Arabidopsis thaliana: one gene and its partners. The protein of the gene in region 3 interacts with the protein of the main gene of each other region in a pairwise test. Each region holds a gene or a part of one and is shown on either strand. Other genes may lie near its edges. The genes, in order: AT5G25940, GONST5 and AT5G24000.

Region 1 (3,419 bases), 940 kb from region 3:
TAGAGTCGAATAGAGTCGCTCATTGTGTGATCTCTAATATTTTTATGTTGCAGAATACGCATATACGTCAAAGGTAGATGAGAAGATCGATGTGTACAGCTTCGGGGTAGTTTTGCTAGAGCTGGTGACTGGAAGAGAAGGAAACAACGGAGATGAACACACAAACTTAGCAGATTGGTCATGGAAACATTACCAATCTGGAAAACCGACCGCAGAGGCGTTTGATGAGGACATCAAAGAAGCTTCCACGACTGAGGCGATGACAACAGTTTTCAAGCTAGGTCTCATGTGTACTAACACATTGCCTAGTCATAGACCTTCCATGAAAGAGGTCTTGTATGTTCTGCGCCAACAAGGACTTGAGGCGACGAAGAAGACTGCAACAGAGGCATATGAGGCACCTCTACTAGTTAGTTTATCGGGTCGAAGGACAAGTAAAAGGGTAGAAGATGAAGATTTAGGTTTTGTATAATCAAATAATCACAACACTTGATGTTGTTTTTTTTGTGAAATGTACAAATGTATTAGAAACCATTTAGTTTTTGTGTAAGCAAAGTTTTAGTTAAGAGTATAACTACCAGCTTGTAACTTATTTGAGAACAAAATCTGAAAGTCTGAATAAAAAATGGTCTTAAAGAATTTGTTATTCCTTATAATAATAACACTCTTATTAAGAATCAAGGCAAAATATGCATACAAAACAGAGAAAGATGATGATTGATTTGTGTTACAATAAGAAGAGAAATTATTTAGAGTCTTGCTGAACTTTCTTTAACTGAGCCTCGGTGTTTCTTCTTGCGCCTTGTAGAATCGTTTTATCCGCGGTTATGAAGAACGCAGCGATAGAAGCTGTTCCAATGATCACCATAATCACAAGATAGAAATCAGAAGAAAATTGTGGAGAAATGAATGTACGAATACTTAAAAACCCCAAACTCAACTAGGTTCAAAAGGGAAGTTCGAGGTTTCTACAACAATGTTAAAGCTAGTATCTTTTTTCTACTTAGTTCCAGGAAGAACATATAGTAATGATTTAAGGCATATTGCTGATAGAGCTAACCTGAAGAAATAATGAGTGCTTGAGCAGTGTAGTTGAGGTTTGCCTTAGCCCACGGGAACATACGAACGGCAGCTACCTGTTACGAAAACAAGGCATGCTTATGTACCAAATTCATATCTTATATACACATCAAAAAGAATGTGACTCTACTTGGTGTATTCAGAAATCACAAAATGAATAGGTAACAAAATTGAAACTCTTGATTATTACAGAACATGAGATTGGTGAGTCACTTTTGTCTTAAAATTCAACAACAAAGAAACATAACTCTTACATTTAATTCATTTAAGATCTCAATTTAAAAAATTTAGATAAGTGAGATTATATGATTACTGTGGGAATCGCACTGGCGACGGCGGCAACGGCGGCGGCCTTAGCTCCGGCAATAGCTCCGGCTGTAACATAATCCAAAGTCATCAATTTAAAAGATTTTTTTTAGGGGAAAAAAGAGAGAGAGAGACGGAGAAAGAAGAAGAGACCTTGTTTGGAAGTTTCGGCTCGATGGATCTTAGCAATCTCGTCGGGAGAAGCTATGACGAAGAGATTCTGCTGCCTCCGGTTACCCATTTCTGACCGATTTTCCATTTTCAGTGTCGCTTTTTTGATCTTTCGATTTCAAGGAGAGAGAGAGAGAGAGAGACGGGTCGCGATTTGCCTTTTTCTTTGGTTAGGAAATAAATGATTAGGACGAAAATTAAAAATTCGTTTTTTTTTTTTATAAGTTGGGAATCTTTCACCAAAATAATGAAACGCCAATATTGAAAACAAAGTTGTCAAAATACTATAGTCTATAAAACGCCAATTTAGAAATGTATTTCAATCATGTATTTAGAATAATTTGTGTTAGAAAACAGATAAAACAATTATTATGTTATAGATTATTTTTAAAATAAAATAAAATTCAGTGGTTCGTAAATGTTTGTTATTGAGAATATTTTAAATTTTAGATTTTTAGTATTTTTAATGCACAATGGTCTTTTGGAGCGGTTTTAGAAATCGACTTAAGAAATGTTTGGAGTCAATTTTGTTACCATACGGATATCTTTAGAGATATAAGAAATTAATCGATTCAGTTTTAGATAAAATTTATAAGTGAAAAAATGATTAAAAAAATATAATAAATTAGTTAATTTCATTAATGATGATATTTTTGTATAGAAAGATAAATTAAAACTTAATTTTATATGTGATTAAAATAGTAATTTTTAAAAAATTGGTTAGTTTATTTTAATTACATAAAATTTAAAATAAAATTTTTGGTATAGAAGTTGAGTTTTAAATGAATTCGGCCTTAATGCTTCAAACATACAAAAGCGAAGATATAGAGAGCCCATCAAAAGTACTAGGGACCAACAGAAAATGTTAAGATTTTATTAATAGTTCAATATTCTTTTTTTAAAAATATTATAATACCTGAATTGGACTTGAGCCAAAGTTTTACAAATCAAAACAACAAATACAAAACGGAGGCAAGAATCTGACAATATCTCCGGTAGACGAGATCTTACTTCGGCGGTAGTTCAATATTGTTCTAATGATTTAACTTGATTGCTTAGATTGGATGATAGAATGTATTTCTAGTGTTCTAATTTAATTGGTTACTTGAACTTTGATACCCTTCTATTGCTATGGTTTTTATACACTTGTGGCAATGAGTGATATTGTAAATTAAATTAGAAAATATGGTGCTAAGGGATATGTGATATAATGCATATATATCCGAGCTACTCGAAAGTCGAAACAGGGTCTAAGCTTCCACCTATGGCTAATTGAGTACTTATGTGCATGAAACATGAGCATAAGAGGTTGATGGAGCTGTTTTACTGTATGCATCTTTCTGCAACCCAAATCCAAAGAGTAGTTGTAAATTTCATGAAAGTGAATGTAATGTCTATAGTCATGTCATAATGTTACTGACAGTCCAAGAGGTGAAGAGCGGTGTGCGGGTGTCTCCAAAATTGTATGTGGTATATTGTGTTTTTAGTGTCTTATGTCCTTTGTCTAGTGTTTGTTTTGAGTTGTTTGTCACATTTTTGTTCGTTTTTAATGTATTTTTCGGTTGTTTTGTACAAGTTTTACGAAGTTATACTGGAATTGGAGACTTTTTAAGTGAAAAACAGACGTTAGGAGATGAAACGGAAAAATGGTGATTCAAGACAACTCCGATGAATGCCATCAGACAACTTTTTGATGCTTAATTTTAAATTTTCTATCAAATTCCACTGGAAAATGGCATCGGACAATTCCCTGATTGAGCACCAATATAATTGAACCCTACCGCAAGAAGTATTGCCTCCTATAAAAACAAGTTGAGAACATTTTCAATGCGAGTTGTCTATAAAATTTTCGGTTGCAAATA
Region 2 (3,985 bases), on a different chromosome or scaffold from region 3:
GTTTTGCCCTTTTCTCTTTAACTCCTTTGACCTGGTTTCAGACTACTGTAGCATGAAGATTTTTTGAAAATTGATTTTTTGTAAGGGAAGGATATGGCGGTAAATTCAGCAACATAAGTTGAGGCCCACTTGAAAAAGCCCATTTTTTACTTTTGAGAAGCTAAAGCAACGAATTTGATGAGCTGTTTTGAGAGCTAAAATATTCGTTTCCCTTAAACACCGTCTTAAGCTCTTTCATGTATCAAGGCGGGAAAATGAATAATCATTTCTTATATATTGTCAAATTAACTTTCTATTTTCATCTTCTTTCAAAGATTCCCAAACTTGCACCATTTTGTCATGTATTAAGTCTCTGATGTTAGAACATGGCACTATGGCACAAACAAAATTGGAAGGAAAAATTAAAAAGCTGAGGTAAGTGAAAGCACTACCATAATTGAATACAAAAATGGGCCTGCTTTAAGTATCTTTGTGGTCATCTCTGAGTTGGTTTGATGAGGATAGATAATTTAATACAATGGAAACAAATAAAATGGCACTTCTCTAACTTCTCTAGTTTGAGTAAAAATAAACATATAGTTAAACTATAACTCTCTTGTGGATGTTCAAGATCAAATCTAACTTCTTTGTGTGCGTTCAATAGTCTAGTGACTTACCGATGATATTCAAATTTTACTCTCGAGTTTATCATTAACAAGAGGGATCAGTTCCATCTTGTTCCTTGGGGTACGAGGAGTCCTAGGAGTTCCGGGTTGTTGCTGAGAAAGCATGTGTCTTACATATCCGTAAAAGGTGCAGCCCACAAGTGTGATTCCGCAGCCAACAGCATTCATCGGTGATATCGGGTTTCGAAATATCATCCATGAAACAAACACAGCTACTGCAACCTGCAAATCACATACCATCCATCAAACATCTGAGTTATTGAAACTAGAATATAAAGATTAATGTTATGTGGTTTGGGATTTGTTCATTTACCTTAAGGTTTCCAGCTACATTGAATGTGACTGCTGTTGTGGATTGAATGACATAGAAGATGGAGAAGTTAAGACAGAAAGCTAGAACACCTGAGTTGAAAAGAATTATGAGAGCCGACCATGGAGATGGATGTGCTTCAAACCAATCCAAAATTCCATTCCTTTCTAGTAAAAATGCAGGTAACCCGAGAATCATGGTCGCGAAAGGCGCCATATAGTATACCGTGTTTATGCTACATAGAGAGACATGAAAATGAGGAGGACACAAACACTCAGTTCCATGAAATATGAAAAAGCAAATCAAGTATTGGACTATGAGAGCATGGCATGTCATTGAAACCAAATGTAAGTTTCACACATTCAACACCTATCATGTGAAACTGAAGATCAAAACCTCAGGAAACAGAACATTGACCTGTCAAATTTGTATCCATGAAGAAGAGATTCTGCAAGAATGGTCTTTGTAGAGGTAGCTAAACATCCAAACAAAGCAGCACAGAATCCAAACACATTAAAGCTAAGTTCTGTAATAGAAGTAAGAAGAATCCCTCCAACAATAGGCACCAATGACGCCCAAATACGCCAATCAAAATATTTCCTCCATACCAACCACTGTAACACAACTGCACTCAAAAAACCATTACACAAAAACCAATCAGAACAATAAAAAAAAATCACTTTATTTTGAAAAATTCTCAATCTTAAAAAAACCCTAAACCTGTTGTTGCAGGAGTTAAAGATTTGATAGTCTGCATAAAAGAGACAGGAATGTATCTAAGACTAATATTCCCCAACACAATGTTGATACAGAACACAAATGACATTGGAAAAATCCTCCTCCACCTATCTTCTGGATCAACCACAATCAAAGGTTTAAGCTTTAAGACTTTAATCACAATGTATGCTCCAATCGACGAACATATGAAATGAACACATGAAACTGATAATGGAAACTTGAAATCCAGTTTCTGCAAACAAGGAAAGGTACCAAATTTCAAACGCAGATCAGATAAAACAAACGAAAGGCTAAGTCTTTAATGATAAAAGTAAGAGACTTTTTAAACCTGAAAGATCCATTTGTTCATGATGATAACAGTAACGTTAAAACCCCACCATTGAAGAATCGATAACAGAGATCTGAACATAGTCCATTGACGCCACAGACTTCCTTCCTCCATTGATGGGTTTTAAGAAGTGAGTCAGAGAAGGATCCAAAAGATGAAACCTTTAGGAATGTGGCAATGCAAAAGCTAAATAAGAAACCCTAATTAAAGCGCCAAGAGAAACAGAGTAACGGTTCTGTTTTATATGCGAGAATTCTCTTTTTCTCTTTAGTAAGTTTCCGTGTAGTTAAATGCAAATATGTTTATGCAGCATAAATTATGCTTATACAAGTTACCAATTTTCAGTTGTTACATATATAAATATAAATAATTAGATTTTTAACAAATTTTCCGTATACAAGTAAATATTGTTAAAGATAAAAAATTATGGAAGAAGGATACATAAATACTTGAAATATTGATCGATACATTGATACAAAAAATCATAAATATATAACTTATGCATAGAGAAAGGAGACAAATTTTTTGTAATGTGGATCAATTAAGCGGTACAAATCCAGCTAAATGCTCTGCAGAACCTTTTTATAGGACCACCATTACCTCGAGGGACGATGTATCGCTCGTTGTTGAGAGGATCACATATAATCTTGCAAGGGTTGGCACATATGGCTGGAGTCGCTTTCTTTGATGCTTTCATGCACTGGTTCACGACACAATTTTTGACACACACATCTATCGAGTTGGAATGAGCTGAAAACATCATTGCAAATAAAATTACAATCATCAATACACTGCAGATTTTCTTTGACACTTGAGTTGCCATGTCGTAAGTATTGTGAGTCTGAAAATCTTAAATTGTAATGTTTTTTTTCTTTCTTTTTTCTTTTTGTTGTGGTTTTGAAACAAGATGATTTGGTGAGAATGTTGTGTTGATTATATAGTAAAAATAGTTTTAGCTGATTTTAGAAGTAACTAACTATTAGGAGGTCAACTTGTTTTCGTTTCTTTTTCTTGGCAAATATATCGATTGATTTCTGGACAACTTATATGTATTATACTGTTTTGGTCATCTAAACAACTATTTGCATGCTATGCATAAATATAGTAACACTAATTGCTCATATTTAAAATATTAGCCTGTACAACACATATCTTAGTGGCATTTTCTTCTTAAAATTCGTGACCACGTTTTTGTTACGAAAATCGTAATATGCACATGACATGGTAAAGAATACATACCGTTAACAAGGAATGATTACCTTTCACTGTACATAATTTTTTAAGATCATTGAATTTATCATTGGACACTAAAAATCTTTCCTTTTTTAAAAATGAAAAATAACAATTCCACCAAAAGTATCCTAAAAACTCAATGCCTAACTAAATCACATTGTTATTTTTCATGTGATTTAAATATTTTGGCGATCATCGGGGTACATTCTTTCTTTCAAACCTATAGTTTTTCTTAAATATGGTGAAAGATTCATCAGGAACAAAAAGAATACGTAATCCTTTTGTTTTGTCTATAATTTTTGAGTTGAATACATATATATATATATATAAGTAGGAAATTATGTACATTTGTTTATAAGAAAACGTAAGGAAAATATGTACTTTTGTTTATGAATAAGTAAGAGGTTCTAGATACATACAATACACTAAGGCGGATTAGATCATTTAATATGACTCCTCCCAGGTAAATATGTACATTTGTAAACATAATTTTCTTTCATATTGTCTTTATCGTCATTTTCCTCCATGAAAACACAATAAACTTTTTTTTCATAAAATCTATAAATTCAAGACTAATATAATTTGATTGAAAGTATTTATTTTAAAAATAAAATCCATATTTGTTTAACATCTTCAGTTTTTTCCATAAAATTATTAAATTCAAATGCCTACATAATTCTTTTTTACAACTCTATATTCTCAGCTTTCTTT
Region 3 (5,193 bases):
ATAATGAGATTTGAGAACATTCTATAAGGCATGATTCATGCATTTACAAATTGGTACTTGTTGTACTACATCTTTACTTATTCTTAGCTAATATATACTTTATCTCCGCATTAAAAAAATATCATATTACACTATCCATGTCTTTTATTGGCTAAATTGGGCTCTCCATATCAATATTATGGAAAGAGCAGGTGTGTCGAACACATACTAAAGACTTTGTTCGGACCTCAAATCTAAGTCATGCATGTGATAGGTACATTGCATATTTTGTTTTTGGAATCGAAAGTTGCAAGTAAACGCATAAATTTCCAACCATGCTAATCTAAGTTTCATAGGATAAATCAAACAAAGAAGGATGAATCTAGCACTACTTTTGGTTACAAAATATTTGGAATCAATAGAATCTTATTAATATGGTAGAGTTGACTTTTGAGATTGATATGGGAAAGTACAGTTGACTTTTAAATTACGATCTCAAGTACGGTTGACTTGTATTGAAAGAGCGGTACAATAGTACAATCAACCGTACCACTAGATGTATATTAGTATTAGTCAACTAAAAAAAAATCTACAGACAAATTTTATTTTATATTTGAACAAGTAAAGCTCGCAAACCAATGTAAAATGGTTATTGTTTATGAGATAAATGCTTGTTTTGTATGAAAACACTGATAATTTGGAAAACAAAAAGATTTAAAATTTGTTGAGAACAATTAGCAATTTACAAGAAGTCTAGCTTCAGAATCCTCCAATCATTAGAACTGTTTAGAAATCTATAATCGTTTGAGGACAAAAACTCCACATCCAATGCCTAGAAAAGTTGCTATGGAGACCCCAAAAACACCAGAGAGAATCCCGGGGACGACAAGAGAAGTCCATCCTTTTGCGGTTGCCATGGCACACGCAGTGGTTGGGCCTCCGATGTTAGCATTTGATGCAAGAAGTAATAGCTTCATGTCGATACAGAATAGTTTTCCTAGAACCAAAGTCACTGCTAGATGAACCATTACTTGAATAGCAGCAAATAAGAAGATACTTGGGGCAGTGTTGATTACATTCCATACACTCCCTGTGGCTCCTAGAATTGTGAAAAATACCTGAACAAAAAAGATTCAAAAACAAACCATGGTCTGAAGTCCTCGGGCTTAATCAGGGATGGGCTTTAACAATGAGAATAAGGGCTCAAAACGGGTCAGACATAGCCCATTTTGCCAATGACATGTCTAATTGGTTCTAAATAATGGATAAAGTGTAAAGAAAGAGATACCTGCATGAGAATGAGAGAGATGGTTTCAGCAGAAGGTGCCAGAGAGTTGAAGAAATCAGGGAAGGATGTTGCCAAGACAATGGTGATGGCTGTTACTGCAGGAAGCATAACTCCTTGTATCTTAAATAGCGTCGTCAACGTAATTGCAGCTTTGCATATCAGGAAGGAAACTGATAGTGCAATTGAAGTTGAAACCACTCTGTTCTTGTCCTCGAGCTTGTCATCCTTAGTCATGTCAGCATCTGCCAAAGATCACAAAAACTTGAATAGTAGTGTTTATATGTGGATGCAAATGCAGTTAGAAGATGAGAAACGTTATGTAATAATGTCAAAACTCAAAAGTATTGAAAACTTATTATCAAGTCTTAATTTGATAGGCACATTATATGTATTAATAATAACTATCTTTACCAACATTCACTCAAATCAATTTGACAACTAACCAAGTAGCCCTAGAGTCACCAAATCCTTAGTTGGTCCGACTATTCGCCATAAGTTCTTTAGTAATCCTCTCACATTGCAACATACTTACATACCTTATATATACAAAATGTGATCAAGATGGAAGTTTACCAGGGGAAGATGCTGAGGCGGTCTCAGGGGGTATCTTTGAGGCCAACGCAAACAAAACCATGAAGTGAAGAGCACATATGACATTATCCACAGCTACACCCGCTGCTATAACAGATGGAGATATCTGTAGAGCCTCCGATATCGCAACAAAATTAAGGGCTGCAGAACAAAAAACAAGAACCAACAATTTTATTCTCATTCCTCTTGAAGAATCCATTCCCAAGTTGTGATAAACATCTTACAAGCCAATTTAGCAAGATTTTCCTCTTTTTTCGATAAACGAAAATCAAGCAAAGCTAGAATCTTTTCGGCTAAAGAAGATAAACATTGAGTACCTCTGTCTGTAAACAAGCCAAAGAAGCAATGAAGGGGCTCCAGACAAACTTACATCCACCAATGTAACTCCCCATAAGAGCAGCTGCTATTTTCCAGTTATCCGGACCAAGCGATCTCATCGGTACCAACATAAAAGCCACCACTGTTCCAACAATCGTCGCAACTACAACAAACCAACTCACAAATTAATAAACCACTCAACACATCATCAATAACAATGTCACTTCACAATCAATCTTTTTAACTAAAACCACTCAAAGACATAAACTTTTGTTAGTCTTAAGCATGAATCCAAACTAATCCCAATCCAAAAACTTGCCTTTAAGCAAAAGACTAAATCTTTACCAGATCCAATTAAGAATGCAAGAAGCAATGATCCAGTAGATCGGATAATACGACGGAGATCAGCTCTAAACAACAACAATGGAATCGTATGCGGCAAGAGAAACTCCATGAAGAAGCCATACGACGGCGTTTCAAACGGAATTAACCTTAAATTGCTAGCGGCGAGCCCAAGTAACGTACTTGTCAACGCACCACTCACCATACTTCCAATTTTCGTCTTCTCCGACCTAATGAAGTCGGTAATTTCATCAGTATACAAAACCCTAGTTTCAACAGAGAGGATTGAGGTGATTTACCAGACACCGAAAGCTCCGGCGGCGAAGAGAGCAGCCCATTGTGACCAGTGATCGTCTGGGGAGATTAGAGGGAATCGTAGTTGTGAGTAGACCTTCACGCGCCGGCGTCGAGATGAAACAAGACGATGTGGAGTGAGTGTTACCGGCGGCGATTTGTTACGGCGTATGGTTATTGATGATGATAAGTGGTGGCGGGAAGGAGACACGTGGAGCGATGAGATTGTGGGGGACAGTGGATTTGGTGATACCACTGTGAATAGAAGAGCCATTGCACTTTTTAGATACACCAATTAATGTTTGAAGTCCCATATTATACTTTTGGAAACTTATTTTTTTTGTTTCCTTATTCGGCTAAACAAATTTATTGAGATATCAAATTGACGAGAAGCATATTAATATACCACATAATGAATATGATAAAAGTTTAAAATAAAATTTAACAATATTTTTTTTCTAAAACTTTACTCTATTTTCTATTTTTGTAATCTATTTCTTGATACGAAAAAAATAACAAATAAGAAATAAATAAAATCGATAAAGAAAGTAACATAACATAGGAAGACGAAATATATAAGAAGAAAATATAATGAATAGTATGAAAAAAGAAAAATAGTAAAAAAAAATTATGATTAGCTTCGTTTGGTGGAATTCTCTTCTTTTTAGTGTTTTCATGTATTTTATTGTCTTCTTGTTTATCAAGAAAAAGAAGTTAATCTAGACTTTGATAAAATGATGGATCATGGATGCCCATAAAAAGAGTACTTCTAATTTTTTTTCTATAACTTTTTTAAAAAGGATGCATTCACTATAACAAGGTTTGTTGTATGAATAAAATTTTACATACACTCAGAAAAAAGAAGAAAAAAAGAAGAAGAAGAGTACTTCTAATTTGGTGACAGATGCTTCCTTATATTTCCTTCTAATTATTAAATTAGTATCGTTTAGGTCTATTGGAATTAATGAGTGAAATATTAAACCTTGCCTACAATACACTAATTAATTTATTTTTTGTAATAATGTGTCGGTCCAAACCTTGTTAGTTACGCAATTAATACCATAATAATCACACCACCTACGATGAGTTAATCCGTAACACCACAAATTATATCTCAAAACTGTTTCTATCTAATTCAAAAATGAATCAAACATCCCTACTCATAGCGTACACAAATGATTAACTAAGAATTACCAAATCAGTGAAAATCAACTATATTTAATAGAAAGCAAAACTTTTTGAAAATGATTGCCACCGAATCACAAACAAAATCAGGTTTAAGCTTCCTTTGGTTTCCCATTGCTGTTGACAAACTTCGCTGCCTAATGATTTCACAAACACTTTCTCTTTCACTTACCTTTAGTGGGAAAAAAATACGAATACAGAGAAGTGACAGCAAAAACCCACTTTCTAGTTTCTCCATCTCTTCTTCTCTTTAATATCATCAAACCAAAACCTTTCTCAAACCTTCCCCAAAAAAGCTTCACTCTAATGGCGTTTCCAATAAATCTAACCCAAACCCTTCTCTTCTTCTTCTGCCCTCTTCTTCATCTCTCTTTCGCTGCTTTCACTCCAACTGATAATTATCTCATCAATTCCGGTTCTAACACCAATACATCTTTCTTCACAACCCGTTCTTTTCTCAGCGACTCTTCAGAACCTGGCTCGAGTTTTCTCTCCACCGATCGATCCATCTCGATTTCTGACACGAACCCATCTCCAGATTCACCCGTTTTGTACAACACAGCTCGTGTTTTCCCCGTCGGAGGATCATACAAATTCCAAGTCACTACCAAAGGCACTCACTTTATCCGTCTCCATTTCGCGCCTTTTAAAGCTTCGAGATTTAACTTAAGGTCTGCTAAATTTCGAGTTTTGATTAATGGGTTCTCTGTGATTAACAGTTTCAGTACTAGCTCCGTCGTTGTTAAAGAATTCATACTCAAAATCGATGACCCTGTTTTAGAGATTTCGTTTTTGCCCTTTAAAGCTTCTGGATTTGGGTTTGTTAATGCGGTTGAAGTGTTTTCAGCACCTAAGGATTATATAATGGATCAAGGAACGAAGCTTGTGATTCCTAACTCTGCTCAAATCTTTAGTAACTTGTCATCTCAAGTTCTTGAGACTGTTCATAGAATCAACGTTGGTGGTTCGAAATTGACGCCGTTTAATGATACGTTGTGGAGGACTTGGGTTGTTGATGACAACTATCTTCTCTTGAGAGCTGCTGCTAGACGTGCTTGGACTACTCATTCTCCGAATTATCAAAACGGTGGTGCCACGAGAGAGATTGCTCCGGATAATGTTTATATGACTGCTCAGGAGATGGATCGAGATAATCAGGAGTTGCAGGCAAGGTTTAACATTAGTTGGGGGTTTCA

Evidence for each region.
Region 1: the proteins of AT5G24000 (region 3) and AT5G25940 interact in a protein complementation assay, tested with the Arabidopsis thaliana proteins (one large-scale study listed by BioGRID).
Region 2: the proteins of AT5G24000 (region 3) and GONST5 interact in a protein complementation assay, tested with the Arabidopsis thaliana proteins (one large-scale study listed by BioGRID).

Annotation. Positions count from the first base shown.
Region 1 is NC_003076.8:9,053,507-9,056,925, forward strand, and holds AT5G25940 (early nodulin-like protein), read right to left. Parts: upstream 1,750-3,419; 5' UTR 1,646-1,749; coding exon 1,540-1,645; intron 1,456-1,539; coding exon 1,394-1,455; intron 1,137-1,393; coding exon 1,061-1,136; exon of another isoform or gene 850-1,060; coding exon 746-849; 3' UTR 616-745; downstream 1-615. Other genes in the region: AT5G25930 (kinase family with leucine-rich repeat domain-containing protein), read left to right, coding at 54-472.
Region 2 is NC_003070.9:7,676,378-7,680,362, reverse strand, and holds GONST5 (golgi nucleotide sugar transporter 5), read right to left. Parts: upstream 2,156-3,985; coding exon 2,042-2,155; intron 1,946-2,041; coding exon 1,696-1,945; intron 1,601-1,695; coding exon 1,393-1,600; intron 1,211-1,392; coding exon 979-1,210; intron 888-978; coding exon 666-887; 3' UTR 520-665; downstream 1-519. Other genes in the region: AT1G21866 (Plant thionin family protein), read right to left, coding at 2,583-2,864. UniProt on the Arabidopsis thaliana protein: GDP-mannose transporter that may be involved in the import of GDP-mannose from the cytoplasm into the Golgi lumen.
Region 3 is NC_003076.8:8,109,607-8,114,799, forward strand, and holds AT5G24000 (keratin-associated protein (DUF819)), read right to left. Parts: upstream 3,170-5,193; 5' UTR 3,087-3,169; coding exon 2,818-3,086; intron 2,749-2,817; coding exon 2,522-2,748; intron 2,340-2,521; coding exon 2,229-2,339; intron 2,000-2,228; coding exon 1,841-1,999; intron 1,510-1,840; coding exon 1,268-1,509; intron 1,098-1,267; coding exon 774-1,097; 3' UTR 579-773; downstream 1-578. Other genes in the region: AT5G24010 (Protein kinase superfamily protein), read left to right, coding at 4,304-5,193.